Linked DNA regions of Stegostoma tigrinum. The protein of the gene in region 1 interacts with the protein of each later gene in a biochemical or structural test. Links are inferred from orthologs where the notes say so. Each region holds a gene or a part of one and is shown on either strand. Other genes may lie near its edges. The genes, in order: spi1b, irf8, mecp2 and interferon regulatory factor 4-like.

The links.
Region 2: the proteins of spi1b (region 1) and irf8 form a complex in vitro, tested with the Homo sapiens proteins (3 studies listed by BioGRID). The link is inferred for Stegostoma tigrinum from reciprocal best matches to the Homo sapiens genes SPI1 and IRF8.
Region 3: the proteins of spi1b (region 1) and mecp2 form a complex in vitro, tested with the Homo sapiens proteins (2 studies listed by BioGRID). The link is inferred for Stegostoma tigrinum from reciprocal best matches to the Homo sapiens genes SPI1 and MECP2.
Region 4: the proteins of spi1b (region 1) and interferon regulatory factor 4-like are reported together in a solved structure, tested with the Homo sapiens proteins (2 studies listed by BioGRID, with this or other methods). The link is inferred for Stegostoma tigrinum from reciprocal best matches to the Homo sapiens genes SPI1 and IRF4.

Annotation. Positions count from the first base shown.
Region 1 is NC_081370.1:11,941,150-11,949,165, reverse strand, and holds the start of spi1b (transcription factor PU.1b), read right to left. Parts: upstream 3,527-8,016; 5' UTR 3,268-3,526; coding exon 3,244-3,267; intron 3,158-3,243; coding exon 3,064-3,157; intron 1-3,063. UniProt on the Homo sapiens protein: Pioneer transcription factor, which controls hematopoietic cell fate by decompacting stem cell heterochromatin and allowing other transcription factors to enter otherwise inaccessible genomic sites.
Region 2 is NC_081369.1:51,891,638-51,899,454, reverse strand, and holds the start of irf8 (interferon regulatory factor 8), read left to right. Parts: upstream 1-4,469; 5' UTR 4,470-4,644; coding exon 4,645-4,655; intron 4,656-4,827; coding exon 4,828-5,014; intron 5,015-7,095; coding exon 7,096-7,279; intron 7,280-7,817. UniProt on the Homo sapiens protein: Transcription factor that specifically binds to the upstream regulatory region of type I interferon (IFN) and IFN-inducible MHC class I genes (the interferon consensus sequence (ICS)). Can both act as a transcriptional activator or repressor.
Region 3 is NC_081402.1:3,533,589-3,541,275, forward strand, and holds the start of mecp2 (methyl-CpG-binding protein 2), read right to left. Parts: upstream 3,277-7,687; 5' UTR 3,205-3,276; coding exon 3,173-3,204; intron 2,795-3,172; exon of another isoform or gene 2,678-2,794; intron 1-2,677. UniProt on the Homo sapiens protein: Chromosomal protein that binds to methylated DNA. It can bind specifically to a single methyl-CpG pair. It is not influenced by sequences flanking the methyl-CpGs.
Region 4 is NC_081355.1:16,028,503-16,036,480, forward strand, and holds the start of interferon regulatory factor 4-like, read right to left. Parts: upstream 3,382-7,978; 5' UTR 3,331-3,381; intron 2,901-3,330; 5' UTR 2,899-2,900; coding exon 2,698-2,898; intron 724-2,697; coding exon 537-723; intron 332-536; coding exon 246-331; intron 142-245; coding exon 6-141; intron 1-5. UniProt on the Homo sapiens protein: Transcriptional activator. Binds to the interferon-stimulated response element (ISRE) of the MHC class I promoter. Binds the immunoglobulin lambda light chain enhancer, together with PU.1.

The DNA.
Region 1 (8,016 bases):
TATTTGTTCTCATTTTTTCCTGAATCCTAACCTTTATGTCCCTTGAAATCAGAGTTCTCTGTTCTTTATCGTTGAACTCTAATTTGCACATTTCCTCCTTGATGGCCTCTCTCTGCTGTCTTCTTTTTGTATCATCAGTTTATTCATCTCCTTGCTGTGCATTGGATTTTTCTACTTTCTGCAGAGTACCCTTCTATAAGTGCTGCCTTTCAAAGTAAATCATTCAAGGTGAGGTTACATTATAAACTTTTCATCCAACTTGAAGAGGTGCCTTTTTAATGCTAGTGTTTGAAAAGTGGCAGGTTTGTGATGACTGACATAGTCATTGAACAACTCCTGATCGAAAACGCTAAAGGTTCTGGTGCTATCGATTGAAATTAATTATCAAAAATAGAAAGAGACTTGCATAATTCTTTGCATCCTTAAGCCATAGCCTCGCAGCCAATGACGTAGTGTCAAGTGCCATCACCAGTATTGTATAGGAAGCACAGCAAGATACCACAAACAGTAAAGTGACAACGGCCTGATGATGTCTATTTAGTGGTTGCGATGTAAATACAGACTGGAATATTAAGAAAAGCAGTTCCTGCTCGGTTACCAATTGTACAGTCGGACTTCATACACCCTCCCGGTGGAGGTGCTGGTGAGACTGTCGGTTCTGTTCAACTTTACAAAGTCAGCTCTGTTGGGCATTTCTGAGCTGACGTCAATCCACAAACATTTACAGAATTTTTGTTATCTTCTAGAAGTCAAATTCAATATTGTCCCCATTGTAGATAACTTTACAATACTGTGCAAATGTCACGCACACAGCTTTCCCAATTGCCGGGATAATAAAATGTGAGGCTGGATGAACACAGCAGGCCCAGCAGCATCTCAGGAGCATAAAAGCTGACATTTCGGGCCTAGACCCTTCATCAGAGAGGGGGATGGGGTGAGGGTTCTGGAATAAATAGGGAGAGAGGGGGAGGCGGACCGAAGATGGAGAGAAAAGAAGATAAGTGGAGAGGAGAGTATAGGTGGGGAGGTTGGGGGGGGGGGGGGGGGGGGGTAGGTCAGTCCAGGGAAGACGGACAGGTCAAGGAGATGGGATGAGGTTAGTAGGTAGGAGATGGAGGTGCGGCTTGGGGTGGGAGGAAGGGATGGGTGAGAGGAAGAACAGGTTAGGGAGGCAGAGACAGGTTGGTCTGGTTTTGGGATGCAGTGGGTGGAGGGGAAGAGCTGGGCTGGTTGTGTGTTGCAGTGGGGGAGGGGACGAACTGGGCTGGTTTAGGGATGCGGTGGGGGAAGGGGAGATTTTGAAGCTGGTGAAGGCTTGAATGCGGACTGTAGTCCATTGGGGATGATCCGGGTCCGTAGGCAGGTGCTGAGGAAGGTGATGTGGCTGTGGTACCTGGTTTGCTTCAGGACATGCTCGACCATGTCCTGAAGCAAACCAGGTACCACAGCCACATCACCTTCCTCAGCACCTGCCTACAGACCCGGATCATCCCCAATAGACTACAGTCTGCATTCAAGCCTTCACCAGCGTCAAAATCTCCCCTTCCCCCACCGCATCCCTAAACCAGCCCAGTTCATCCCCTCCCCCCACTGCACCACACAACCAGCCCAGCTCTTCCCCTCCACCCACTGCATTCCAAAACCAGTCCAACCTGTCTCTGCCTCCCTAACCTGTTCTTCCTCTCACCCATCCCTTCCTCCCACCCCAAGCCGCACCTCCATCTCCTAACTACTAGCCTCATCCCACCTCCTTGACCTGTCCGTCTTCCCTGGACTGACCTATCCCCCCTCCTACCTCCCCACTTATCTTCTTTTCTCTCCATCTTCGGTCTGCCTCCCCCTCTCTCCCTATTTATTCCAGAACCCTCACCCCATCCCCCTCTCTGATGAAGGGTCTAGGCCCGAAATGTCAGCTTTTGTGCTCCTGAGATGCTGCTGGGCCTGCTGTGTTCATCCAGCCTCACATTTTATTATCTTGGATTCTCCAGCATCTGCAGTTCCCATTATCACTTTCCCAACTGCCGGCCTACACGCAACATTTCTCACTAGCAGCTCTGACTTGCAGAATTCACTCGTAGATGTGAAAAGCAAACAAAACTCTGGACGACCGCAGAGCTGTTACTGACTCCAATCTGCCCAAGAGGTGGAAGTGATTAATATCCTTGAATACCTGACTATTTAGAAGGCCCCTTTTAACTTTTTAAAAATATTCTTGACAGGGTTTAGCGGGATCTAGTGGATGGAACGGTCCTGTATTAACGAACGTCTTGTTTTCTGCAACAGAATGAGTTATGTAAAAAACTTGCGCCACAACATTCATGTGCATTAACTCGCAAATACCCAACTCTCTACTTCTGTTTTTTTTGGAGCAGTTTCCATAGATTCACAGACTGAAGCTGCACACATCAGCTAATTCCGCCTGCGTGCTTTTCTGAAAGATCTAGCTATTCCACACCCTTGCTCTCAAATCCTACACACACTTAATTTGAGTGTTTATCTTTTGAAAATTATTGTTGAATTGTTATCCACACCTTTCCAGGCAGCACTTCTAAAGTCTTGCATTGCCGGAATAATCAACTCAGCGTCAACTTTGTTTTTCTGCTTCCCTGTCGTTATTTAGTGCGCAAATAAATCCCACTGGCAGTTTCAGCCTGAAAGTCGTTCTGTGCCAGTTTAGTTTCCAATGTCTTTTGGACTGTATTGGGCAATATATGCGTGTGTATGTAGAAGGGGGCATGGCATTCCACCTTGCGTTCGCTATGTAACGCTGTGCCAAAGGGCTAAGGAGCAGATCCTCGTGAAGAGGAATTTCTCTGCGCTTTGAAGGAATTGGCGCAGCGGGAAAGAGACAAGTCGGTCATTTCAGTCTGCCAACAGGAGCAGCAACTCCCTTCAACCGCAGATTCTGTGTGAAAAGGAGACGGTATCAGCGCTTGGAAAGTATCTCCTGTCTGCCTTATCGAAAAATGAAAAGGTCAGTTTCAAACCGATTTAGCGGTGCTATCGAACAGTGAGGAAGAAATCCCGTACAGAGCTGGGGTGTAAAGAGAGGAGCTAACTCACCGCTATGACTGTCCCCATCGCTGCCCAGGTAGGTGTAATACTCATGGGGCTGTCTGTACACCTCGCTGTCGTAAGGAGTAATATCTTCGGGGTACTGCAAGTTTAAAAAAGAGTCCCAATTACCTCCAGCCACAGAGCAGCGGACCTCATGATTTCAGAGAGTGACAAACTTTTACTTACGGGAGCAATCAGATAGCCTTCCATAGCCGAACTGACTGTGCGTGTTCCTCTGCGGACTTCAGGCAGCCAGGCACATACTCTATGACTTTTCCTCCAAGGGTCTCCAGTAGCAGGTAGAGTGTGCCCACTTTGCCGTCCCGTTGCCCCAGTGACGGGTTTGCAAAGTGAGGTAAGAGATTCCCTGTAGCTGTCCACAAATGCGAGGGTGCCGAGCTTGTTCAGTGGACGGTGAGAAACTGTTCTTTTCCAGGGTGTTGGGGACCGGCACCCGTCAAACAGGAACTTCATGATCAACGCTGCTGTTACCAGACTCCACCTCTACCACAGCAAGCACCCCGCTAGCTCAGACACAAGCACCCCTTAGCGGCTGCTCCTACAGTACAAGGCAGCACCAAGCTTCAGCTGTCCTATAGGGTCCTCACCAACAACTTTACTCTCTGGGACTAGCTAATAGAAAGAAACTTTGTTGGGTTTCTCTCCTTGCCCCCCGGGGTTGCAGCAAAAGAGATTGCTGAAAGTACTCAGCTGATGAAGGTGGCTTTACTGAAGGGAAAGATTGCTTTGAGAGACGACACATTACACTCAACCTGCCCAAAAAAGGGGGCACCACATTTGCAACCCAGAGAATGGGAGGCATTGCATAGAAACAGAGAACGCTCACAAAACTGAAAGAGGCCATTCGGCCAATCATTTATGTGCGGCTCTTGGCACACCAAGTCAGCTAGGCCCATTTCCTTGCCCTTCTCAAGTGTGCCTGCATTGTTCTTTCTCTCCAGATGTTTCCAGTACTGTTTTAATAATTAAAATGGCATCTCCACACTCTCAGATACTACATTCCAGACTCTATCCACCGGAGTGAACCTACCTTCACCACATTCTCCGTGAAAACGTCAGTGAAATTCTGCTTCGTTGTTTGCAGGAAATATAACAGCCTATTTGTGCATGACAAAATCCCACCTTAAGAAATTAGATCAACGTTTGTTTTTAGTGATTTTGGTTGGGGAATAAATATCGCCCAGGACATCCTGGGAAAGTTCCCTCCTCTTTTCGCAAAAGTGCTAAGGCATCTTTTATATCTACCTGAAAAGGCAGATGTGGCCTAGATTTAGCACCTTATTCCAAAAAACACTTCCAACAGAACAGTATTAACGTTTACTTTCCTCTGGTTTATACAATCCCAGCTGTCATCTGACTGCTGAGCTACTAGTTCTGAACTTTCACTTTTACAAATTATGAATATAATTCTCCTGTATTTTTTTCTTTCACTACTTGCATACACTTTTCTAGGTCACAGTTTGTCATTACATTCTTCTGATACTATGCAGATCCAGATAGCACACTCCTGACATTACAAGCATCCTGTTAATGTACACTCTTGCTAATTTCCTCTACTTATCATATTCTTATCATTCCATATATTAAATCCCAGTTATGAGGATTCAGTTGTCCCACAGCAAATGTTGAATTTAAAGGAAAGTGATATTGCCCATACTGCAGACAGCTCGGTATTAGAATCAAGTCAGGCAGCACTTCTAAAATCTTACATTGTTGGAGTATGGCATTGCTCAGCATCAACTTTGTTTCTCTGCTTCCATGTAATTATCAAGTGTGCAAATAAATCCCACTGGCAGTTTCAGCCTGAATGCAGTGCTGTGCCAGTTGAGTTTTCAATGTGTTTATTAATAGACTTATTGGAAACAAGTCAGCCAAGTTTCTATGGACAATAAATAAAAGCTAGATAATTACAAAAACAATTTCCTCAAATAAAGATTATTAGCTAAAGGTTTTCAATGTATAAACATAAACTATCTTTGTTGAAACATAACATCACACAACTGTCGCCAAGCCATTAAAGAAAGGTTAAACTCTGCAGACACTTTCCATTCCAAGATGGGGGAGGGTGCAGGGAATAGCCTTGACAATGCTTCTCTTTTGGACTACATTGGGCAATATGTGTGTGTGTATGTAGAACTGGGCATGGCGTTCCACCTAGCGTCCTCTATGTTACGCTGTGCCCTTCTAAGGGGTCCATGTCTTCTTCCTGAGAGGTGGAGAAAGGCATAATGTCTTGATGGCCTGTTAAAGCAGAGACTTTGCACATGGGCTGCTGCCTACAGGATTCAATGAAAGTAGTGGTGCAGTTGCAGCAAGCAATGAAGAAGGAAAATGATATGTTGACCTTCATGGTGAGAGGATTTGCGTACAGTGGCAGGGAAATGTTGCTGCAAATGTACAGAGCCTTAGAGAGACCATACCTGGACTACTGCGTGCAGTTTTGGTCTCATATTATCTAAGGGTATGGAGGAAGTGTAGCAAAGGTTTACGGGACTGATTACTGGGATAGCAAGACTGATTTTGAAAGGTTGAATCAGTCAGGATTATTTTCACTGGAGTTCAGAAGAATAAGCGGGTATCTCATAGAAACCTATGAAATTATAACAGGACCAGACAGGGTAAACACAGGAAGGATGTTGCCAATAATGGGAGAGTCCAGAACCAGGGGTCATATCTAAGGATAAACAATAGGCCATTTAGGACTGAGATGAGGGGGAATTTCTTCCTCCAGAGAGTGGAGAGCTTATGAAATTCTCTGCCACCGGAAACTGTTGAGGCTAAAACATTGAAAACTTGCAAGAAAATAGGGGCCGCACAGTGGCTCAGTGGTTTAGTGCTGCTGCCTCACAGTGCCAGGGACTGGGTTTGATTCCATCCTCGGGCAACTGTCTGTGTGGAGTCTGCACATTCTCTCTGTGTCTGTGTGGGCTTCCCCTGGTTTCTCCAGCTTCCTCCCACAGTCTAAAGATATTCAGGTTAGGTGGACTGGGCATGTTAAATTGTGCAGGCTAGATGGATTAGCGATAGAAAATGCAGGATTATAAGGATAGGGCAGGGGGATGGCTCTGGGTGGGATGCTCCTCAGAGACTTAGTGTGGACCTGATGGGCTGAATGGCCTTCTTCCACCTGTAGCGATTCTATTAAAGTATAGATAAAGTTCTTATCGCAAAAGGGATCAAACGATATGGGGAAAAGGAATGGGAAAGGGTAATGAGTTAGATGATCAGCCATGATCTTAGTGAATGGTAGGACAGTGCTAAATGGCCTACTCCTGCTCCTATTTTTTATCCCTCTATGAGATGAGAGAGAACAACTTGCACAATAAGGGTGGAGGCTTGAGCATCTTAATAATATATTCACAGATCCCTGTCAGCAAATTGGTATGCTCAGTTGCTCCTGGCTAGCGGTATTTGAACTGGAGTACAGTCGGGATTTACACACGGTGGTGGGTGTATGAATCTTGGAAGGTCCCAGTAGTGGCAAGCACTTCTACAGCTGGGGAGGGCACCACAGCATGCAGGCGTGTTGAGTACTTGAGGTTGAGTAATGGAGAATAGTGTTAGATAACAGTCCAGAGATCATAAAGAGAAAAACCACAGGGAATACCCTTGAAATTGACACTAATTCAATTTTTGGTCAAATGTAGCTGATAAATAGGGGGCATTAATCTACATTTGGACTGGGGAAGCAAATTTGCAGCAATAATGTTCAAGATGTGTCATTGTACACATGCAATTTAGTTTTCAAAATCCTGATTACAATCAACCAACTAAGGGGCAGGCTATTTTGAATCTAGTATTGTATATTCAGGAGGGTTCATTAATGAGTTCACAGCAAAGGTTTGCAGGAAGTTTCAGAGATTTGGGACAAAGAGAGAGGTACACCTCTGTACTTGTGAGATGATATATCCACCTTGTCTGCCTGACTCTTTCTCCTGTCTCAGCCTACGTTGCAATGCCAAGTCCTCATAGTGTCCTTGTATTCCTCACACAGGCCAAAGAGAGATAGTGACAACTGCACACTCCTGTTGCCCTGGTAATTTCTAAAAGGTACAAAATAAGATGAAGTAGCTCAGTGCTTTTCTTTCCAGATGAAGTCCTCAGAGAATTTCTAGCTCAACAGCTGCTTGAGTGATGAAGTCCTGACAAATTGATACAGAAAATATCCCAATGTGTTTGAGAGAATTTGGTCATACTTCCAGCAGCAAGTGAATATGAAATGTTTAAGTAGCACCTAAAATCTACAAGGTTGCCATATTCATACCCAAACAGCTGCTAACTGTTGGGGGAGGTCATTAGATCAAGTGTTATCCAGTAGAATGATGTGTGGTCTTTTTCATCACTGTCAACAGACATTGCAAATGACAAAAAACTCCTTCCCAATTTGCCTAGTCATTCCTACCACTCAATTCAACTTCTTTACAAAGGTGATGCTTTCTGGTAAACAGAAGCTAAAGGAACTTGGAAGCTCAAGATGCCACCTTGGAAGCTCTTTGCTTTAGAGCTGTCACGCACTCACTCTGCATACCTCCTAACCTGAGCCCTGATCATACTAGGGCAGGTCTCAGCTTGGAAGGTAGAACTGGAGTTTGATGGCCAAAGCTGCTGCACTCAGATTAACTCTAGAAGAAGGTGTGTGTGTGCGTGTTGTGTAGTGGTGTTGTGAAAATGTTACTTGGTTGGTAATCCAGAATGGGTACAAATCCTGCCATGGGAGATGGTGAATTTTAAATTTAAGAAAAACTGGAATAACAAAAAAAAGCTAGTCCAATGGTGAGCATGTACATATTGTCGATTGTTGCAAATCCCATCTGGTTCACTAATTTTCTTACAAAAGAAAATCTACTGTTCTTACCTGGTCTGGCCTACATGTGACTCCATAAGACACAGGAGTGGACCAGAAAGAGACCAGTCAGCCCAGAATCTGCTCCACCATTC
Region 2 (7,817 bases), on another chromosome or scaffold:
TGCTATGACACTACTGATCCCTTGAACAGAAAAGCAGTGATAACAGATCAAAGCAGAACTGATTCAAGAGAAAAATCTTTAATGGTGCTAAAGTCAAAGAAGGTGGTAGTAATTATGGGAAAGAAACAAAAGGATTGACTAGAAGAGGTGAAAATATCTGGAAAGCAGCTGCCTGAAAGCAAAGGAATTAAGTTAAAAAATAAGAGAAAAACTGAACTAGCAAAGAAAAACACACTAAAACGGGGGCAATGGTTATATCAAAAACGATTGAATGCAGAGGTGAATCCAGAAGTGCAATTTGTAAATGGAAGTGCAAACTTGAAAGATGAGGTGCTGCTCCCTGAGTTTCACTGAAATGCTGCAGCTGGCCAAGTTCAGATGGGTTTGGATAGGAACAACATGGAGAATTGAAAGGACTAATAACAGAATGCCCAGAGTTGTCCTCAATTCAGGTGTTCTGCAAAGCAGTCACCGGGTGTACAGGAGACTAAGTTGTGAGGTGCAAATACTCTGTTCAAAACTGAAAGAAAGCAAATGAATCTCATTGAGTAGGAATGTTTGGGCCCATGGATAACAATGAGGGAGGAAGTGGAAGTGCAGGTGTTACATCTCTTGCAGTTGCATGGAAAAGTGTTGTAGGAAAAGAGGTAATCTGCAGATGACCAAGGAGAGGGTTAATATACCATGGAGGATATCGTATATCAGAGTGCTGAAAGGGGAGCGCCTAGGAAGATGCATTTGGTGGTGCTATCACTAGAAATGGAAATGAATAGAATGGGATGATATGTTGAACACAGAGGCTGTTGGTTAACAAGTTAGGACAAGAGAAACCCTATCATTATTCTTGGAGGGAGGGTAAGTAGAGAAGGCAGAAATGTGTGAGACAGATTGGACACAGAGGACAGTGATAATGGGAATTGCAGACGCTGGAGAATCCAAGATAATAAAGTGTGAGGCTGGATGAACACAGCAGGCCAAGCAGCATCTCAGGAGCACAAAAGTTGACGTTTCGGGCCTAGACCCTTCATCAGAGAGGGGGATGGGGTGAGGGTTCTGGAATAAATAGGGAGAGAGGGGGAGGCGGACCGAAGGTGGAGAGAAAAGAAGATAGCTGGAGAGAGTATAGGTGGGGAGGTAGGGAGGGGATAGGTCAGTCCAGGGAAGATGGACAGGTCAAGGAGGTGGGATGAGGTTAGTAGGTAGATGGGGGTGCGGCTCGGGGTGGGAGGAAGGGACGAGTGAGAGGAAGAACAGGTTAGGGAGGCAGAGACAGGTTGGGCTGGTTTTGGGATGCAGTGGGTGGAGGGGAGGAGCTGGGCTGGTTGTGTGGTGCAGTGGGGGGAGGGGATGAACTGGGCTGGTTTAGGGATGCAGTTGGGGAAGGGGAGATTTTGAAACTGGTGAAGTCCACATTGATACCATTGGGCTGCAGGGTTCCCAGGTGGAATATGAGTTGCTGTTCCTGCAACCTACGGGTGGCATCATTGTGGCACTGCAGGAGGCCCATGATGGACATGTCATCTAAAGAATGGGAGGGGGAGTGGAAATGGTTTGCGACTGGGAGGTGCAGTTGTTTGTTGCGAACTGAGCGGAGGTGTTCTGCAAAGCGGTCTCCAAGCCTCCGCTTGGTTTCCCCAATGTAGAGGAAGCCACACCGGGTACAGTGGATGCAGTAGACCACATTGGCAGATGTGCAGGTGAACCTCTGCTTAATGTGGAATGTCATCTTGGGGCCTGGGATAGGGGTGAGGGAGGAGGTGTGGGGGCAAGTGTAGCATTTCCTGCGGTTGCAGGGGAAGGTGCCGGGTGTGGTGGGGTTGGAGGGCAGTGTGGAGCGAACAAGGGAGTCGCGGAGAGAGTGGTCTCTCCAGAATGCAGACAGGGGTGGGGATGGCAAAATGTCTTGGGTGGTGGGGTCGGATTGTAGATGGCAGAAGTGTCGGAGGATGATGCGTTGTATCCGGAGGTTGGTGGGGTGGTGTGTGAGAACGAGGTGGATCCTCTTTGGGCGGTTGTGGCAGGGGCGGGGTGTGAGGGATGTGTTGCGGGAAATGCAGGAGACGCGGTCAAGGGCGTTCTCGATCACTGTGGGGGGAAAGTTGCGGTCCTTGAAGAACTTGGACATCTGGGATGTGCGGGAGTGGAATGTCTTATCGTGGGGGCGGAGGCGGAGGAATTGGGAATAGGGGATGGAATTTTTGCAGGAGGGTGGGTGGGAGGAGGTGTATTCTAGGTAGCTGTGGGAGTTGGTGGGCTTGAAATGGACATCAGTTACAAGCTGGTTGCCTGAGATGGAGACTGAGAGGTCCAGGAAGGTGAGGGATGTGCTGGAGATGGCCCAGGTGAACTGAAGATTGGGGTGGAAGGTGTTGGTGAAGTGGATGAACTGTTCGAGCTCCTCTGGGGAGCAAGAGGCGGCGCCGATACAGTCATCAATGTACCGGAGGAAGAGGTGGGGTTTGGGGCCTGTGTAGGTGCGGAAGAGGGACTGTTCCACGTAACCTACAAAGAGGCAGGCATAGCTGGGGCCCATGCGGGTGCCCATGGCCACCCACTTAGTCTGTAGGAAGTGGGAGGAGTCAAAATAGAAGTTGTTGAGGGTGAGGACGAGTTCGGCTAGGCGGATGAGGGTGTTGGTGGAGGGGGACTGGTCAGGCCTGCGGGACAGGAAGAAGCGGAGGGCCTTGAGGCCATCTGCATGTGGAATGCAGGTGTATAGGGACTGGACGTCCATGGTGAAGATGAGGTGTTGGGGGCCAGGGAATTGGAAGTCCTGGAGGAGGTGGAGGGCGTGGGTGGTGTCATGGACGTAGGTGGGGAGTTCCTGGACCAAAGGGGTGAAAATGGAATCCAGATAGGTGGAGATGAGTTTGGTGGGGCAGGAGCAGGCTGAGACGATGGGTCGACCAGGGCAGGCAGGTTTGTGGATTTTGGGAAGGAGATAGAAACGGGCCGTGCGGGGTTGGGGAACAATGAGGTTGGAGGCTGTGGGTGGGAGGTCCCCTGAGGTGATGAGGTCATGAATGGTGTTGGAGATGATGGTTTGGTGCTCGGGTGTGGGTTCATGATCGAGGAGGCGGTAGGAGGTGGTGTCGGAGAGTTGGCGTCTGGCCTCGGCGATGTAGAGATCAGTGCGCCATACTACCACTGCGCCACCCTTGTCTGCGGGTTTGATGGTGATGTTGGGGTTGGAGCGGAGGGCTGCCCGTTCTGCGGGGGAGAGGTTGGAGTGGATGAGAGGGGTGGAGAGGTTGAGGCGGTTAATGTCTCGACGGCAGTTGGAGATGAAGAGGTCGAGGGAGGGTAGGAGGCCTGGGGGTGGTGACACAGTGGACAGCTGTGTTGATCATGGTGCTGGAAGGGGGATGGTGGGCAGTGAATCCTGGGTTCAGTAAAAAGAAAGTCAGATTGGACGTGCTGGTATTGGTGGTTAAAAAAAACGCGACAGAGAAACTGGACATTTTCTGAAGAAGGGTCGAGGCCTGGAATGTCAGCTTTCCTACTTTGATGCTGCTTGGCCTGCTGTGTTCATCCAGCAGTATGCCTTGTTATCTCAGATTCTCCAGCATATGCCGTTCCTACTATCAGAGAAACTGGGCATTAGGAATACAGACCTTGCAAGAATCACTTAGTTTTACAGTATAGCATGAGGGCATTTGACCCACTGTATCTGTACGGGCTTCTGAAAGAGCTCCTCACTTAGGCTCCAGCCCTATCTCCGTAGCTGCCTAACTCCATCATTTTCGACCCGAAACGTCAGCTTTCCTGCCCCGCTGCGTTCCTCCAGCTCCACACCTTGTTATATCAAGTCTAGTGGTAGCGGGAACAAAGTAAACTAGATACTATGAAGGGAAAGTTGATTCAGACAAGGGATATTCTGATGGTCTTTTTTCCTCGCCAAAGAATCAGCTTAGTTCATTGACCACTGCTGAAAACGTCTGCAAAGTAAAACACCCCCGGTCTGTGGGTATTGTCCAATGAAATTAAACCCTCTTCAACTACTGGGACATTTTATTAGGAATTCATAAAACACAATGCCTCAAGAGTATTGCGAAACCATTCCCCGATACTATTACCACCCTGGGACAGGAGGAGGCGTACAGGTCCCGGGAAATTCCCCAATACATGCCACTTAAGTAAATCCCCCTCTACTCCCACGTGTATACAACCATACCATTATAAAGTGCAATGGACGAAAGGTCAAAAAACAATAAAAGCTCATTTCGCAAAACGTGCTGCTGGAAACTTTGAAAAGCGATCCTCGGACCTCCTAGAAAGAGACAAGGAAACACACACACTTAACAGAACGACCACTGCAACTACTTGCAACCCATCTGATTTCTTATAAAAGGGTTGGACCGGGAGGAAATCCCTCCCGCCTTCCCATCTCATTGGCCCCGCCGTCTGAACTTGGCTAAGATGTTTGGTCGACGGCAGCGTCAATGAGCAGACAGTTGCCGCGCATCAACCCCACCTTCCTGGGAGTGCATAAACGCCCACAGTTCAGCTCAAGACGAGATAACACGGCATTGATTGTCAGACAATTAAAGGAATAGTAACAGGAGATACGAAACCAGAAGAGAAAAGCACTGCAGTTAGGTAATTGACCTCTGTTAATTATACCTGGCACAGAACTGCTCTGGAATGATGCAAGGGTGAGGAAACATTTTCAACACTACAATGTAAACTTTTTTCACAATAGTTTAAAACATGATATTTTGTTTCTAAGTAACTTTTTCTATGATTTAGGACAAATGAAATTTCTTGGGCACGCTAGTTTGTTACGAGGTAATTATTCTCTGATGAGTTAAAATGTTGCTATTGCAGAATCGGCATGGTCGATAGAAACAGCACCGGGATGCGCCGTCTCAAACAGTGGCTCATTGATCAGATTGACAGCGATCAGTACCCAGGCTTGGTCTGGGACGATGAGGAGAAAGTCACTTTTCGGATTCCTTGGAAACACGCCGGGAAACAAGACTACAACCAGGAGGTGGACGCTTCGATCTTCAAAGTACGAGGATTCTGGCACAGTTTATGATGCTGCATTTGTTCTTTTTTAATGTAGCAGTCCTACTTTACCACGCATGATCGCAATACTTGGCTACATTTTAGCGAAGGGTAAAGCATACGGTTAGGTTTGGGGGCACTTTGGAGGTTTGTAGCAGTGACCCTAAGTTAGTTAAGCCAATATACGCATCTTTTTGCAAGCCAATTTGCTTCATTGATTTTGAGGCCGGTCTGCATCGAGGGACTTTTGAGTTCAGTTTAGCTATTGTCGGATGTTTTTCGAGGAACGAAAGGGCAAAACTGTGGGGGAATAATTTGAACTTTTAAAAACGTAAATTGTACATTTTATTCTGGGAGTTGAGAAAGGAGGCCTTTTAACAGATATTACTTAGTGAGGGAGTATCCCTATTTGGAATGAGAACTAACTTATAAGTTGCGTAGAAAATAATGGCAATTTTTGCTTCATTTGCTCGGCCCTGGCCAATATTTTCCTGCTCATTATCTTGCAAAAATATACTGCAGCTTCTGCAGTTGCACTAAGTTCAGACACTTAGATTCTGCAGTTGCAGTAAGTTTAGACATTTTGCTGTTACACTGAAAATAAAATTATGGAAAAATGTATAGGGCAAGAAGCTGGATGTAATAGTTATTTAGCACTGAAGGTGAAATCATCTCTGAACACTTGCATGTAGTTTATCGGGAGGGATTATTTATCCAGGTTGAGAATGCTTCTAATGACAATATTGTCATGTCTGAAGAACAGACCTAGCTTTAGATCCAAAAAAAAAGAACTGTAGATGCTGGAAATCTGAAACAAAAACATATTATTGGAAATACTCAACAAGACTGGCAGCAGTCTGTGGAAAGAAGGTAGTGTTAAGGGTTTGTAGAGGTAGAGTTTGGGTCTAGTAATCCTTCTTTAGATCTGAAGACCCTAGCTATACATCCCCTTGTTTGCATCTGGATACAGGACTATGGAAGGATTCAGAAATTTCACTCAGTGAAAAGAGCAGAAAGCTGAACACTTCTAGCTGAATGTTACATGTTATTAAGTAGTAGTAAGGACAAAGTATCAGCAGCTGAACGAAGGTTTAAACTGAAGCTCAGTTGCAAATCAACATCCATTGAGGTAGTATATCTAGATCAAGGGCATCTAACTCTTCTAAGCACCAAGTTTCTAAGTAACTAGATTTTATTTTGCTTCTGTTTAGTTTCATTTTGAAAAATATTTCATTTTGATGCAACTGTCAGGAACATTTAAAGTTGTAAAATATATATAGAAGCTGAATGAAATATACTGAGTGCATTTCTTTTGCTTTCATTGGAAAATAAATAACCAAAATACCTTGAGGGCAGCAGTGGTTAGCACTGCTGGGTCACAGCGCCAGGAACCTTGGTTCAATTCCACCCTTAGGTGACTGTTTGTTTGGAGTTTGCACATTCTCCCTGCGTCTGCGCAGATTTCCTCCGAAGATGTGCAGTTTAGATGGGTTGGTCATGCTAAATTGACCATAGTGTTCAGGGATGCATAGGTTAGGTGGGTTATGGGGGGATGGGACTGGATGGAATGCTCTGAGGGTTGGTGTGGGCTTGTTGGCCAAAGGGCCTGTTTTCACACTGGAGTGATTCTATAATCTTTTTAAGAATGTAAGTCCAGGATGCAAATTTCCTTTTGCCTTTGTCTGCTTTGTTATTTGGATTATTGTGAAACTAAAGAAGACTTGGACAGAATTGTTGTTTTGATTTTAGAGAACAACAAAAACAAGAACGTAGGTGACTGTTAGAAAATAGCTCCCAAATACAGGGTAGGGTAGGAAGGCATCTTATTATTTTATCACCTGCTTTTCAACACTTTGATTAAAACAGCCAAAACCAAGCTTGTCCTTCAACTGGGGGACTGAAAAGAATGTTGCAGTTGTATTGGCTGGAGATTAACTCTTAGCTTCAGCAAAGGCAGAGATCAGAGATGTGAGAGGTCACCTCTTTAATGGCTTCCAGTACAAGACAAGTTCATAGTGCACCAATTAGTTCATTGAGACTCTATACTAACTTATGCATGGTTTATATGTTATATGGCATTTATAGGCTTGGGCTATTTTCAAAGGAAAATATAAAGAAGGTGAGAAAGCAGAGCCTGCCACTTGGAAAACAAGACTTCGTTGTGCACTCAACAAAAGTCCAGATTTTGAAGAAGTGACTGACCGTTCACAGCTTGACATCTCCGAACCATATAAGGTTTATCGAATTGTTCCTGAAGGACAGCAAAAATGTGAGCACAAGTAATTCAGTAGTTTGGGCAGATTATGTACCTGGTGTTCCACTGCCGGATTCACACATCTAATTTTGTCAATTTAGATTCAATGGTTTCAGTTGTGTTTGCTCTTTTCATGTCTGAAAAGGAAAGATACATTTTGAGCAGCTGCTCCATTTTAAAGTCTTGAGCTTTCCTTGTTTTCTCGGCTGACCTACTAGCCGGCCTCACATTTCTGACTTTTTCTGTTTTTCTTTTTTCTTTTTCTATTTTTTTCTAAAGATTTCATTTATAAAGCATTTGTGGTGTGCCTGGGATGTAAAAGGTTGTAGGGAAATCATTCTGTGCTGTATTGTGTGGGGTTTAGAGACTTGGAAACATTAGGGCATCATGGTGGCTCACTGGTTAGTATCGCTGCCTTGTAGCATCAGGATCCTGAATTGGATTTCAGCCTCCAGTGACTGGCTGTGTGGTTTGCATATTTTTTGTGTGGGTTCCTCCCACAGTCACAAAGATGTGCAGGTTAGATAGACTGGCCATGCTAAATTGTCCAGGG
Region 3 (7,687 bases), on another chromosome or scaffold:
GAGGGAGGGGGGGAAGGGAGGGAGGGAGGGAGGGAGGGAGGGGGACAAAAGACGGGGAAGGGAGGGAGGGGGACAAAAGACGGGGAAGGGAGGGAGGGGGACAAAAGACGGGGAAGGGAGGGAGGGGGACAAAAGACGGGGAAGGGAGGGAGGGGGACAAAAGACGGGGAAGGGAGGGAGGGGGACAAAAGACGGGGAAGGGAGGGAGGGGGACAAAAGACGGGGAAGGGAGGGAGGGGGACAAAAGACGGGGAAGGGAGGGAGGGGGACAAAAGACGGGGAAGGGAGGGAGGGGGACAAAAGACGGGGAAGGGAGGGAGGGGGACAAAAGACGGGGAAGGGAGGGAGGGGGACAAAAGACGGGGAAGGGAGGGAGGGGGACAAAAGACGGGGAAGGGAGGGAGGGGGACAAAAGACGGGGAAGGGAGGGAGGGGGACAAAAGACGGGGAAGGGAGGGAGGGGGACAAAAGACGGGGAAGGGAGGGAGGGGGACAAAAGACGGGGAAGGGAGGGAGGGGGACAAAAGACGGGGAAGGGAGGGAGGGGGACAAAAGACGGGGAAGGGAGGGAGGGGGACAAAAGACGGGGAAGGGAGGGAGGGGGACAAAAGACGGGGAAGGGAGGGAGGGGGACAAAAGACGGGGAAGGGAGGGAGGGGGACAAAAGACGGGGAAGGGAGGGAGGGGGACAAAAGACGGGGAAGGGAGGGAGGGGGACAAAAGACGGGGAAGGGAGGGAGGGGGACAAAAGACGGGGAAGGGAGGGAGGGGGACAAAAGACGGGGAAGGGAGGGAGGGGGACAAAAGACGGGGAAGGGAGGGAGGGGGACAAAAGACGGGGAAGGGAGGGAGGGGGACAAAAGACGGGGAAGGGAGGGAGGGGGACAAAAGACGGGGAAGGGAGGGAGGGGGACAAAAGACGGGGAAGGGAGGGAGGGGGACAAAAGACGGGGAAGGGAGGGAGGGGGACAAAAGACGGGGAAGGGAGGGAGGGGGACAAAAGACGGGGAAGGGAGGGAGGGGGACAAAAGACGGGGAAGGGAGGGAGGGGGACAAAAGACGGGGAAGGGAGGGAGGGGGACAAAAGACGGGGAAGGGAGGGAGGGGGACAAAAGACGGGGAAGGGAGGGAGGGGGACAAAAGACGGGGAAGGGAGGGAGGGGGACAAAAGACGGGGAAGGGAGGGAGGGGGACAAAAGACGGGGAAGGGAGGGAGGGGGACAAAAGACGGGGAAGGGAGGGAGGGGGACAAAAGACGGGGAAGGGAGGGAGGGGGACAAAAGACGGGGAAGGGAGGGAGGGGGACAAAAGACGGGGAAGGGAGGGAGGGGGACAAAAGACGGGGAAGGGAGGGAGGGGGACAAAAGACGGGGAAGGGAGGGAGGGGGACAAAAGACGGGGAAGGGAGGGAGGGGGACAAAAGACGGGGAAGGGAGGGAGGGGGACAAAAGACGGGGAAGGGAGGGAGGGGGACAAAAGACGGGGAAGGGAGGGAGGGGGACAAAAGACGGGGAAGGGAGGGAGGGGGACAAAAGACGGGGAAGGGAGGGAGGGGGACAAAAGACGGGGAAGGGAGGGAGGGGGACAAAAGACGGGGAAGGGAGGGAGGGGGACAAAAGACGGGGAAGGGAGGGAGGGGGACAAAAGACGGGGAAGGGAGGGAGGGGGACAAAAGACGGGGAAGGGAGGGAGGGGGACAAAAGACGGGGAAGGGAGGGAGGGGGACAAAAGACGGGGAAGGGAGGGAGGGGGACAAAAGACGGGGAAGGGAGGGAGGGGGACAAAAGACGGGGAAGGGAGGGAGGGGGACAAAAGACGGGGAAGGGAGGGAGGGGGACAAAAGACGGGGAAGGGAGGGAGGGGGACAAAAGACGGGGAAGGGAGGGAGGGGGACAAAAGACGGGGAAGGGAGGGAGGGGGACAAAAGACGGGGAAGGGAGGGAGGGGGACAAAAGACGGGGAAGGGAGGGAGGGGGACAAAAGACGGGGAAGGGAGGGAGGGGGACAAAAGACGGGGAAGGGAGGGAGGGAGGGAGGGGGACAAAAGACGGGGAAGGGAGGGAGGGAGGGAGGGGGACAAAAGACGGGGAAGGGAGGGAGGGAGGGAGGGAGGGAGGGAGGGAGGGAGGGGGACAAAAGACGGGGAAGGGAGGGAGGGAGGGAGGGAGGGGGACAAAAGACGGGGAAGGGAGGGAGGGAGGGAGGGAGGGGGACAAAAGACGGGGAAGGGAGGGAGGGAGGGAGGGGGACAAAAGACGGGGAAGGGAGGATGTTAGTGTTGGGAATTTGGCAAATTCAGGGTGAGTTGAGAACGAGGGAGAAAATGGCAAGACATGGTTGACAGAGAGTGGGCAAGAAGTGGTGGAAATAAGGTGACTATGCCATAAAATGATTAGCACATCAGATTCCAACACAAACACACACAAACTCCAACATCCCACCACCCATTCGATCACCCTGCTCTGTGAAATCAGGGCGATTTGTTATGTGTTAGGGAGCAAAGAGAGACACGCTGGTGTTGACTTGGAGACAGAGAGGCTAAGAGTGTGAGGGGGTGACGGGAGATGGAGGGAAGGGGGTTGCCCCCGGGTACCCCGCTTGCGCGCCTGGTTGCCATGGCGTCGCCCCGGTGATGATTGTCGGGGGGAGGGGGTAGAACAGGAGGTTGCCATGACTCCGCGCTCGCGCGGGCCCGACCGTTAGCCCGCTCGCGCCGTCTCCAACGGCTGCGGGCCCTGAGCGCCCAGGAGCCGAGCGTCGACCTCCGACCGACCGTCCACCCCACCCTTTGGAGGTAGGCCTCGCTCGCCACCGGTTCCATCCTCTCCCTCTTTATTTTTTAACTTTTTCAAAAAAAATACCATTTATTATCACTAGACCGGGCAAGTTTTGTGTGTGTGAAACAATCCGCTTATTATCGGGACCGCCACCGCGCGAGAAAGAGGCCGGGCCTACCTCCGCCCTCTCTCTCAACTTCTCACCCCCCCCCCCTTCGCCGTTCATTCGCCGGCATATGTTCACCTCCCCCCCTCCCGTCCCGAAGCACGGAAGGGGGATTGACCGATCTCTGGTTTTCTCTCTCGGACCAGGGCCGGAGCTGCTTCTCCAATCCCGCTTCGCCCCCCTCCCCCGACCACTGCACTCTTCCTCCTCCTCCTCTCCCAGTACTCACAGCCTCTCTCCTCCGCTCGGCGCGGCGGCCATTTTCAAATTATTTCCAGCGCGTCACACCGGCAGGGCGGGCGGCCCGACCGGCCGAGATCTCGCGAGCGTTCGGAGTTTCGGGTAGGGAGGGTTCCGGGTGAAGGTGGGGGGAATGAGAAGTGGGTGGAGGCGGGGAAGGAGGGGGCGGGGTGCTTGGTGGAGTTGGGCGGGAAGGGTGGGTGGGGCGGAGTCCAAAGCGACAGAGGGCGTCGAACGTGCGTGAGGGGGCGTGGTCTGAGTGAATGGGGTGTGTCCCAAAGTGAGGGGGTGGGTCCAGGGTGGAGCCTTTATGTACCAAAGTGAGGACAGCGTGGTCCCTTGGTGAGGGATACGGACCCAAAATGAGGGGACAGGTTCCAAAATGGGAGCGTCCACTCTGTGGGATGACAGGTTCAAGTGCTAAGTGGGGTGGTCCCTGTTTGAGGTGATGCCCCCATGTCAGGGTACCTGAGTGAGTGGCAGTGACCAATGGTGAGGGGATGGGGTCCTTTAGGGACAGCTGGACCCTCAGTGAGAGGGCATGATCCTTTATGTGAAGGAACATTGGTCCCTGTGTGAGAGGACGGGGTTCCAGACGAGGGGGCATAGTCCCATTGTGAGGGGGGCATGTCCCAAAGTAAGTGTCCAGGCTTGAGTGTATGGCTATAAGGGTGAGGGGGTGGGGTTTATGTATGAGCCGGTGTGGTTCAATCATGAAGGGCCATGTTCACAGAGGGAGGAGGTGGAGTCCCTGGTCAGGGGGCTGGGTCTTTGGGGAGAGGGGCATGGTCTCAAGTTGTGAAATCACCTGATGAAGGGGCTAATCTGCCAAAGCTTGTGTTTTCAAATAGACCTGTTGGATTATAACTTGGTGTCATGCAATTTCCGACCTTGTCCAGCCCAATCCAACAGAGGCATCTCCACGTCTTGGGAGAGGGAGGGCCTCTGGCTGAGGTGGGGCTTTTGGTTGGGAATGGTGTCTTGGTGTAGCAGAATGGTGTAGTGGTGGGACAGCAGGGGACAGGTCTTGGTGGGTGGGCATAGTACTGCGCAAGAGGGCATAATCTTGGAGGAGCAGGGATGCCTGTCAAAATCTTGATAGAGCAAAAGATGCAGAGTCTTGGGAGAACAGAGGAGGCAGGATCTTGGGAGGGGGTGGTATTGGGAGGGGAGGAAGGGTGGTATTGGGGACTGGTCTTTGGAGAAAAAGTTTGTGGTCTTAGAAGAGGAATAGAGGTGATTTTGGGAGGGGGTTTGATCTATGGAGAGGATGGCAGTAAATCTTGGGGAGTAGTGGTTGGTCAGGGGAGAGCAGGGGGTTCATGTAAGTGTTGTCGGAACTGTGTGAGATGGAACATGGTCTTGGGGAAGCAAAGGAGTAAGGTCATTGAGCAGAAGGTGTGTCTTTGGACAAGTTATAGGAAGTGGAATGCAAGGAGCCCATTGTGACATTTGAAAGTAAGGATCAGAATTTAAAAAGGAGGGTGTAGTTGGACCAGGAACATGTGTTGCTCAGCAAGCATAAGACGTGATTATAATATTCCTTTCAAACTGAGGGTGAGCCTTGCCATGTAATAGCCTATAAGATACTATGGAACCAGGTTTAAAAAAAAAAGCAAAGAGGTTACTTTAGTAATTGTAAAAAGGGCCAGGTGAATCCGTAATTGGGGATGTTAACCTGGGCTAATCAAGGAATCCCACATTCAGTTACCCTTGACAATGCCAGTCCTTTCATGGTCTCAACGTTCTTGGTTACTCTGGATGTCCATTCAAAGTGTATGAACACACACAGAGTTTATTCGGCAAACTCAGAAATGACAATTGTAAAGCTGCAAACAATTTTCACAATACAGAAACTACTGGTAACGGACAATGGGATGTTACTTACCAACAGGGATTTCAAGTATTCCCTAAAGTTGAATGGGATTTAACATGTTTGGACAACTCCATACCATCCATCATTCAATGGCTGAGCAGAAAGAGCAGCACAAACTTTAAAGAAACAGCCTACAGCCTCACTTGATACCAAACTGTCCCACTTCCTGTTCGATTATAGGACCACCCCTTACGAAAATACAGGGAGAGCTCCAGCAAAGTTGTTGATGGGTGAAGACTCCTATCAGGTTATATCTAATATTCCCATTTAAGGGTGCAGGGGGGAGCGGGGAGCATGAAATGGCAGCAGCAACACCAATGCCAGGCACATGCCTCCTCTAAACAAGGAAGACAGTTTACTTAAGGTGACAAAGTTTGGCATTGAACAGCCCTGTGTGGTTATGAGTCAAGGTCAACACACAGTTAGATCCCATGATATACAAAGTTCAGGTAAGGTGAGGTGGTCCTAAATAAACATGTGGTTTATGAAAGCTGCTACCTTGCAAACAGGGCAGGAGCAAAACATACCTGGGCACCTCAGAACAGCCATAACGGCTGTCAGAAACCATGGGTCCTCCTCCATCATCTAACATCGAAGAAACCTCAGAGTTCATGATGGATGTAGCCTCAATACCATTAATGCCTGAAGAAAAGAAGGAATCTCTCCTGAGACACTCCAGGTGCAAGAGACGGCATACATGATACACACCTCCAGTGTCCTATCAGAGTCAGAAGAACCCCATTCACAAGCGTACAGACAAAGAAAAATGCAAGGAAAGAAAAGGCAGTTCAATAGTCCCTGTCCACGGCCTGTGCTGAGATGCCCTTTTGGCTTTCTTCAGGAAGCTAAGGAAATTGGGCATGCCCACAAGGACTCTTACCAATTTTTATAGATACACCAGAGGAAACATCCTATCTGGACGTATCACAGTATCGTATGGCTACTGCTCTTCCCAATTCTGCAAGAAACCACAGATAGTTATGAACACAGCCCAATCTATTGCACAAACCAGCCTTCCATTCACTGACTCCATCAATATTTCTTGCTGCCTCAGGAAAACAACCGACGTAATTAAAGACCCCTCCCACCATAGTTATACTGTCTTCCACCCTCTTCCATCAGGCAGAAGATATAAAAGTTTGAATACAAGCACAAGTAGATTCAAGCACAGCTTTTTCCCTGCTGTGGTCAGAGTTTTGAATGTATCTCAAGTATTAATTTTCTCTCTCCATACCTTCTTGGCAACCATAACACTATATTCTGCACTCAGTTCTGCTACCTTGATGCACTTTCTATGGTACAATCTGCCCACGTAGCACACAAATCCACACTTTTCCAGTGTATCCTGGTATGCATGATAACAATAAATCAAACTCAAACTTCTCCAGGTACTTTCACTTGCTTGCAGGTGGGACAGGGTGGCTGTTCACGCTCATAAAGTGTCTGATCTATAGATTAAGAGCCACAATTTACAGAACTGATGGGAAGAGATAGACTGGCTTTTTTCAGGCTCCAATGCAAACAAAAGAACAGCTCTTTCCTTTTCTGAAGAAGGGTCGCAATCCGAAACGTAAACCTTTCCTGCTCCTCTGATGCTGCTTGGCCTGCTGTGTTCATCCAGCTTCATACCGTATTAGCTCTTTCCTTTTCAATGGTCTGATGACTTCTAACCAAATATTCACACCCATAAGCTATCCAGTAACCAGGGCACTAACCGCGTAGTTGGTAGCGGGCAAGAGGCCATGTCATCAACCAATGATCACTAATCCACAGAGAAATCATCTTCTTGTTGCCAGGGGAATTTCCCTTCGTACACACCCCAGGATCAGCATGTCTGTAGTAACCTCACCCTCTGCTTGAACAAGCAGCTGTGCAAACAGCACATACAATGAGTATTGAGTAATCTACTGTTAAAAAGTACAGCAATTCTTTGCACGGTCCCTGGTGTTTAAGACAGTCCTTTTTCCCATTTCAGTTCATAATCAAAAATAAAGTAAAATTAAAAATATACTTTCTTTAAAATAGTGAACTCATTAAATAATTGTGTAAATATCTTTGTTACATTTACCACTCTCCCATCTGCTCCCAGATCTCTACCTTCGGGTGTTCTAGATTTTTCACTCTTTTCTCAGAACATACTCTCTCAGATATAAAAGGATGGTAGATCTCTTGCTTGATTGATGATTGTTGACTTTGGTTCTGACTTGTGACCATTTCTCTGCTAGAGGACTTTTTATCTTTCAGGTCTCCTTCACATAGATGAATATTTGGATAGAAATAGTGTGCAAGTGTACAATAAATGACAGGAGATTGACATTAGGTTTTGAACAAAGAAAAAGAAAAGAAAATTACAGCACAGGAACAGGCCCTTCGGCCCTCCAAGCCTGCTGTTTTCATGCTCTTTTAAAGAGCCACGGAGGTACGATGGACCAAATAGTCTCCTTCTGTGCTCTAACAATTCTGTGATTTAAAGAACATTGTTCTTTGTAGATGCTCTTGTTGGCCATTCTTATCTAGAGCATCTGTAATCCCCTGAATGTTCTTCCTTGTATTATTCTAGATTTCTGGATCATGCAATCATTTTCTAATGGAAGGAGCAGTTTTTTTTGCAGTGATTTGCTCTGACTC
Region 4 (7,978 bases), on another chromosome or scaffold:
CTTACCATTATCGCAACCAGGTCCTTGCCAGTGGTGGTTTCGTGGAGGAAATGGCACAGTTGGGCACTGATAAGAGAGTTCTGGATGTGGCTGTTCATAATCTCTCCAGCCACGTTCATGTTGTACAATATAGTTGGGTATCTGAAAGCCATAAGAAAATATTTATTGTTCCATGTTTTCCACTCAAAGAAGTGGAGAATGTTAATTGCCATCTGAGATGTTTCAAATTCAGGGAGCTCACTTACCTGGGGTGGCATTGATGGATATGTAGGGTACGAATGGTGGTTAATCGATATCGGTGGACCTTCCATGCTCATTTGCTTTGATCCTCCTTGAGGAAAAAAAGGTAAAATCTTAGGATGAGTAAAGACATAGGAATTAAATAAGTAAAGGAAATTTCTGCAATTTTCCATAATCTTAAGTTATCCAGAGATGGTATGAAGACATTATGATTATATTCGTTTAATCTTATCCATTCTACTCTCCGAGCTTTTAAAAAACTTCAATTGAAAGATCATGTTAGTGGGAGCAAATACCTTTTTTGGCTCCTTCTGGAATAATTTTGTACACTTTGTATGGATCGGAGATGTCAAGTTGACTGCGATCAACCAATTCCTCAAAATCATTGCTCTTGTTTAAGGCACATCTCAGTCTAGTCTTCCAAGTTGGGGGGTCTGGCTTGTCAATTCCCTCACGAAATTTGCCTTTGAAAAGTGCCCAAGCCTTGGGAGAAATGATTTGGTAAGAGTGAGTTAGCAAAGCACCAACATTCACTCCATTTCATAAACATTGTTTCTGTATAAAAACAGTAGGATAAATTATTTACCAGGATGTACACAAGACAAATAATGGGGATGCTGGATATAAGAAAGAAACTTTACTCCCATAAAATGCAAAGAGTGAAATGCTTCAGCATACTGAAAACTACTGTGATTATGAATGGATTAATTTTTTTTTAAAAAAAGATAGATTGTTCATTTTAATTTGAAAGTATTTTTCTCCACTGTCTCTTACCTGCCATCATTCAAAAGCATTATATACACCGGTAATTAAGGGATGTACTGTGTATTCCAAGTTAAATGATTGGTTATCTATATTCAGCTTAACTATGGTTAATTGTTTGGTAAAAGAGAAATTAAGTTTTGCTGAAAAAAGTAAACATTTAATTGTCCCTTCAATGGGGTAACTTGTAATACAATTTAAAAGGAACACTTACAGTTATACTATATGATATGTGTGCTAATTGGTACATGAGTAGATTCTGATTGGTAGCAGCATTGCTGTGGGAGATGCACCAGTTAATGGTGAATGATAGTTAACTGACAGGCTATAATTAATGTAAGGAGGGGGTTAACATATTTATTTTTGTTACCTTTATATATACACACTTTTTTGATGGATAGTGGGGAAATTAGCAGACTAATTCTAAAAATGTTGAATTACAGCACAAACAATCCTTCCTTGGCCATCAAGTCCTGCAATTGAACATATACCCATGGTTTATATCCTGGAGACAGGGCACTATCTATAGAGCTCCATAATGAATGTGAAAATGGTGAGCCAAACTATAAACAAAAAATGTGTGGTATCTTCGTGGTTGGGGCATTGTCACTTTGGGAAATTACACATCCTAATTTTCTACGACCTGACATTAACAGTGTATTAACATTATTCAGACCATTAGGTACTATCCAAGCAAAACCGAGTCTTGAGACTCAAACAATCTGCTGAAAACATGGCTTCAAATAATAGTGTGATCGGGTATATGATTGGAACAAAAAAAAGTGTACTTTGCTTAAATCATACTGATCAAATAGCCATGCATTTTGAAGCGATAATAATTCACTGGAAGCTCGGGAAAGCCCCAAGTATGTTTTAATTAGAAACAAGCTTTCTCCTGTGACCCCGTTTGCAAAGAAACTATAATGACCCGTGGGAATAAGTCATTATAAATATCTCGTATTTGTATGTGCAGTGAGTCACTTCAGTGACTTTAAAATTCACCGGCCAATGTCTTCAGAAATACTCAAACACTTTCTTGGCAATGATGTAGTTTCCCTGAAACAAAAGACTAAGGTTTACCGGTGTTGCTGTCCAGTTCCACCACAAGATGTGAACTTAGACCACAATTATTCATGCACGCCTACTAAAGTCTCGTTGTAGCTTTCCTGAAAGTAAAGGCAGTTCTGTGCAAGTCACCGTGTAATAGAAAGCAACCTGATCCACCACCATCGCCTACCACTGTGGGCTTATCGTGACGACTGAAATGGTAATGCCCCGTTTGTCCGAAGGCCTCATTTATCCGAAATACAACACAAGTAGCTGGAGGTGGCTCTCCCACGACACTGCTTTGATGACATGTGCAAGATCACATGGGATCACAAGACAGCATAAAGAGCCGTTGTAGAAACAGGGAGGTCTGCAGTAAACAGGGAACACAGTGAACGTGGAGGCGAAGCCGGTATGTAACGGTCAGGATGAGACGCAGATAATTTCATTCGAACCCACTGATTTATGCAGCAGGCCAATTAATCACACGCACAATTACATAGAAGAAAAAGCGGAAAAAGAGGCTGTGACATTAAAGTTTTTTTTCTTAAAAGAGGAAATTAACACCTTCCCCCTATGAGAGAAAAAGAGAAAAATCAGAAGTTAGACAGAAAACGAAGAAACTCGAGAGATGAGGTGCACTGTTACCTTGAAAAGTGCCGCGTCCTCCTCTCGGTTGTAATCCTGTTTCCCTGCGTGTTTCCAAGGAATGCGGAAAATCGTCTTGTCTTCATTCTCCCAGACCAGCCCGGGATATTTCCCACTATCAATCTGATCAATCAACCACTGGCGAAGTTTGCCGTTTCCGGAAGTCACTGGAGCCATGTTGCAGTCTGAATCCATATTCATGTCTAGATAATGTGTCATACAGAGAGAGAGAGAGACAGAGAGACTCATGAAATAAAAAGGCACATGCAACCATATACTGTCACGTCTTAGGGCGCGTAAATAAAATATTGATCATACAAGGGCATTCACTGCAGGAAAAGTTGTACGAAACCTGCAGAGCATTTTAAAACAAAATCACATGGGACACCTCTTAACAGCTAGCAGTTCTACCTAAACGTACGATCATTTGAAATCCGATTAAAGTGCACGCACGAAGCCAGGCTTCACTCTCTCGCCCGCAGCCAAGCTATTTTCACATAATAATAATTTTAAATGAAGCCCTAAATGTTGAGGAGTAGCTGACAGTCACCCCATCAGTGTCTGATCCTAAAACAAAATTCGGCTGTATCTTGCAATAAGAACTCCCAGCGAAGTCATCCAGTTGCCTCTTACCTGGGGACTTGCTGTGTTTCAAGTTTGATTGACTGGTTACGATGAAGCAGATCCACTCAGCACAAGCACTGAAAAGGAACTTTCTCTTATATACAAGAGTGCTGGGAGGCGGGACTGCTGCTAATCAATCACAGGCTGTTTTTACAGAAGTGTCACGGACAAGAGGAAACAAAAATCCCCAGCGGCGCACAACATTGCTCCATTTCAGAGTACGAAACATTGTTAACGTATTTGTTTGTCAGAAGAATTTGACAGATCGGCTTTTTTTGGGGGTGCGTGTGTCTTTTTTTTTACCTGAGCAGTGGAAAAACTACGCATAACATTTCTCAGGAATACAGTCACAAATTTTCAGTCAGAATTGGATACTATTCATATACCTCAGTGTGCAATTGCCTTGGAAATGAAATTGCCATAAATTATATATCAAAGGAACGGAGTCAATCTTATAGTGCAGTGATTTAGTCAATTGAAAGTTTCCAAATATTTCCTCAGACTATCAGTTATCTGCCCTGTCACTGCAAACATCGAGTTGACCTCTCCCTGGGCAGTTTTAAAGTGTTTCAAAAAAATGGCCTATTTGGGTTCCTGAAAGTCACCAATGACTTCGAATGGAGTTTGCAACGTTGAACCACTCAACCTCAGGGATCTTGGTTCCCAAGTCTGGCAGTGAGACCACCTCTGCCATTGACCCCCAGCGTCCCCCAGGGGCGCAGTTGAAGAGGCTCAAAAAAGGATCCCCACTCGTATCTCGCTATTGAAATAATGCTCCACGGCTGCAGCCAGATTGGCTGTCCGGCTAACGTGCAGAGAAAAATAATAAACAAAAGAAGTACGGATACTGAAAATCTGAAACAAAACAAAAGCAAACAGACGTTGCTAGAGAAGCTCGCTAAGTAGGTCTGCCAGTATCTGTGATAGAGAGTGGAGTCAGCGTTTTGGGTCCAGGGTACCGCCTACAGGCTGACCTGAAAAGGATCACTGGATCTAAAATGTTTTCTCACCACAGATGCTGCTAGACGCAGGGATAATTGTCAGTGGGTGGAACTTGGGATAGTAACGCCGAGCCAGAAGGAACATGTCTGCAGGAAATAATTGCAGCACATGACAATTTTGGGGGTGGAGAAATTCTGTTTTCTAACAAGTGTTCGTGTGTTTTTCTGACCAAGCGGTGCCAGTTTAGATAGTTCCAGACGTATACAGAATATATGGATATATTGAATGTATGCTTTGGAGATGCACTTGCAATTACATGGAAGCGTGGTGGAAACACTTAACCGGATTAGAATTTTATTAAGAACCAATTCAGTACCGCCACCTCCTGGGCATCTCTCCAAGGGTCCATTCATGAACCGGTCATCCATCTTTTGCAAAATCCACCGGCGTTCCATCAATCCCAATCCCCTCTCCCTTCCACTCGGGCTTCACTCCCCAAAACCCCATTCCCCCAGTGACGGTAATATACTAGACTATATTTCCATTGTAAAGCATCCCCCTCCCCTGGAAGCATTCGTTTCTGTCAAGATATGGACTTCAATTTCACCTAATTGGAGAAAATAGTATGACACATTTGCGTCCCAGTTGTTTATACGGAAGAATTTGTCTGTGGTTAGAAATTCTAACATTGAATTATTTGTTATCTTCTCGGTGCTTTTTTTTCTGGTCACATCAGTTTATCTGAGCTTCAACCAGTTGCTAGTTTCATTTCCAAGAAGTGCTTTTGTTGTTTTTCATCCGTCATATTTTATCACTCTATTCTGAGAGGGAAAAATCATTTCCTTGTGGAAACGTGTGAGGCGGGAGGGGAGGAGACAGAGAAAAGCCCAACAAAATCCAACATTTCCGCTTTGGCTCCGAACGTGCGTTCTCTCTTCTGCGATAATTACCTGGATGTCTCAAACATAGGCTCAGCTTCAAGTTCATTACAGGGTGACATGCATGACAGTGCAACTGGTTTGGCGTATCCCTCACCCCCCAAATTCGCTTAACTTTTCAGAGTTAGATCTGGGATTTGGGAAAGAACTGTAGTTGCCATTACTTGCAGAATTGGCTAAATTTGTTTCAGATTAGGAACCTGCAATTCGGATTTTAATGAATAGGAGCAGAAAAGATAGATTTGTGCACAATACCCATTATTTAAATGCATGGAAAAGGCTCAGTATGGATAGTGTGGAGGAAATGAATTCTTAACTAAATATTTGATGCGCAGTGCATTAAAATAACTGCATTAAGCCGCAGCATTTTACATATCTCACTAACCAAATTAAACGAGGTGTAGAGTTTGTAGATAGTTTAAAAATATGAACCAATTTCTAATCAACCTGTTCAAAGGTGTTACGGCACCCCTCTGGAGCAGGTGGGGATTTAAGCCCAGGTCTTCTGTTCCAAAGGTAGGGGACGTGACCTCTGCACCACATAACTCTCATTTTTATATTTTTAAAAATCTGATCATCTTACTCAGAGTTAGTAGCACACACTTCTAGAGCAGGTGGGACTTTAATCCAAGTCTCCTAGTCTAAGAGATGGGAATGCCACCTCTGTACCGCAAGAGTTCTGTCAGTTTGCTTCTATTAGAACTCTGATAGGTGTTAAAAAGTGCCAGTTGGTCCTTAATGCTGTTAGCATTTAAAGCTTCAGTTGATGCGGGATTTGTACCTGCTAAAGCAGCTGGACCATATTGGGTGTCTTTGATTCGGCCCCACTCCCGCCGCCATCACCAGCAGACATACACACAACAAATTCCACTAATTCGCTCTCTCGAAACTCTTGAAATGACCAGGGTTACATAACAAAAGTGCTCGTTATCAAGAGTGGTTAGAGTGGGTGTTTCTGAAAATGCACTCACTTATTTTACGCCTGTTCCACTATGTGGACCTAATTGGAACCAAATAATTCAGATCTGATGCCGTTTCTGGATACAGATCGAGATAAGATGATGAGAAGATAGTGAACTAGAAAGTGCACAATAACGTGGGCTCACTCGGAAGCTCGAATGGTCATTCTTAGCGCCACGCCTTTCTATTAAGAGTAAATCACTGTACAAGATAGTTCTTTTTGATATCTTTATACACTGTCTTTGTTCTGAGTGTAATATACGCTTGGACAGGTTGAGAGAAAAGGTGCAATTTACAAAACATACCATGCCTAAGTGGAACGCGGCCGGCTGTCAGTTTTGAAGCAATTTCACTCTGACTTGAAATTACATCGCAGTGACAGAGCGAATAGAGGAATTTTGCACTTTTACCAGTTTGTTCCTGAAAAGAAGGTCAAGCAAAATACTAGCGAAGAATAATCAATAAGACACCTCCGTTTTATTTTCCATTGTTACTAAGAATAAGATTTAACATTTGGGCGCCCACCTTTACAGTGCTCATTCCCGAAGTGACATCACAAAAAAGTACAGAGAAAAACAGGAAAACACATAAACAGTACAAATAAATGCACCTGGCATTGTTTTGTCAAAATAACACCGATGGCCTATTTTAAGCGGCAAGGTCTTTTTTTCCAGTCTGGGGCTTGTGTTATTGTTTCAATCCACGCGCTTCACAAACTGCCAACGTTGATCTAATTTTAGATTAAACCGAGGGCGGGATTGTTGAATAATCTTGCCGTGGTTAATTTCCCAAACTAACAAACTCGTGGTCACTTTCAACTACATTTTTGAATTGACCTACAATGATCAGAATGTTCACGCATATATCTGCCCGTGTACGTGCGTGTTCAGTATTGTAAATGTATTACTTCTGCATTTGCAAGCTACACATTGATTTTTTGTTTGATCTGCCCAAAAAAAAAAATTTGGATAAGGCACAAAAGGTGCATACCGACGTGGTTACCCAATGAGATTACTTCTCTTGTTGTCTTCCGTCTTCCACAACATGTTTATTCTCACGCATTAATTAATTCGAACACATACCAAAAACATCAATCAAAATAGAAACATGTTAAGCTTAAGTGTAACAATTCTGTATTCGATTGATTTGCTAAATGTCGTGTTACTGTCGCAACAGAGAGGGAGGTCAATGCATTCCACTTACCACAGGCAGCAGTATTGTGTTACACGTTGTCGGTATGGACAAACTGTAATAAAACGTTGTACTGTCAATAGAATTGCTTATAACGGGGATCGAGACACATAAGTATTAATCAAGTCAGGAGTACATTCACTAATATGTTCTGGGACAGGCTTCCACTCGCGTTAGATATTCTCATGCTGGTGGTTGTGACAGCATTTCCTGGCTGTCTTAAACATTCATTTTTTAAAAAGGTTATATATGTTCCAGCTTAATGGGTATTTCTTAAGCATTGCTCATCGCCCTTTGAATTTACGGTCAGGGTACTTAGTCACAGTTCTCATAAAATGTCAGCCTATCTCTGCCTCTTCGAATTTCAACTGCAGTAATCGTACTGAGAAATCCCATTTACTTAGAAGGCCAGCAACTTTTACACGAATGTAAAAAGTCCTCTAGGTAACATACATGCATCCATTTATGTATATATGTATTCGGATATGGACAGTCAGGTCAATGTACTGGCAAAACTGACTGATACATGCAAGATAAACTAATAGAAGCATTTCTCCAAATGTATATTCTGTTTAAAAAGAACACGTGCCAGGGAAGTGGATGACAGCTAATAGTATATTTAATAA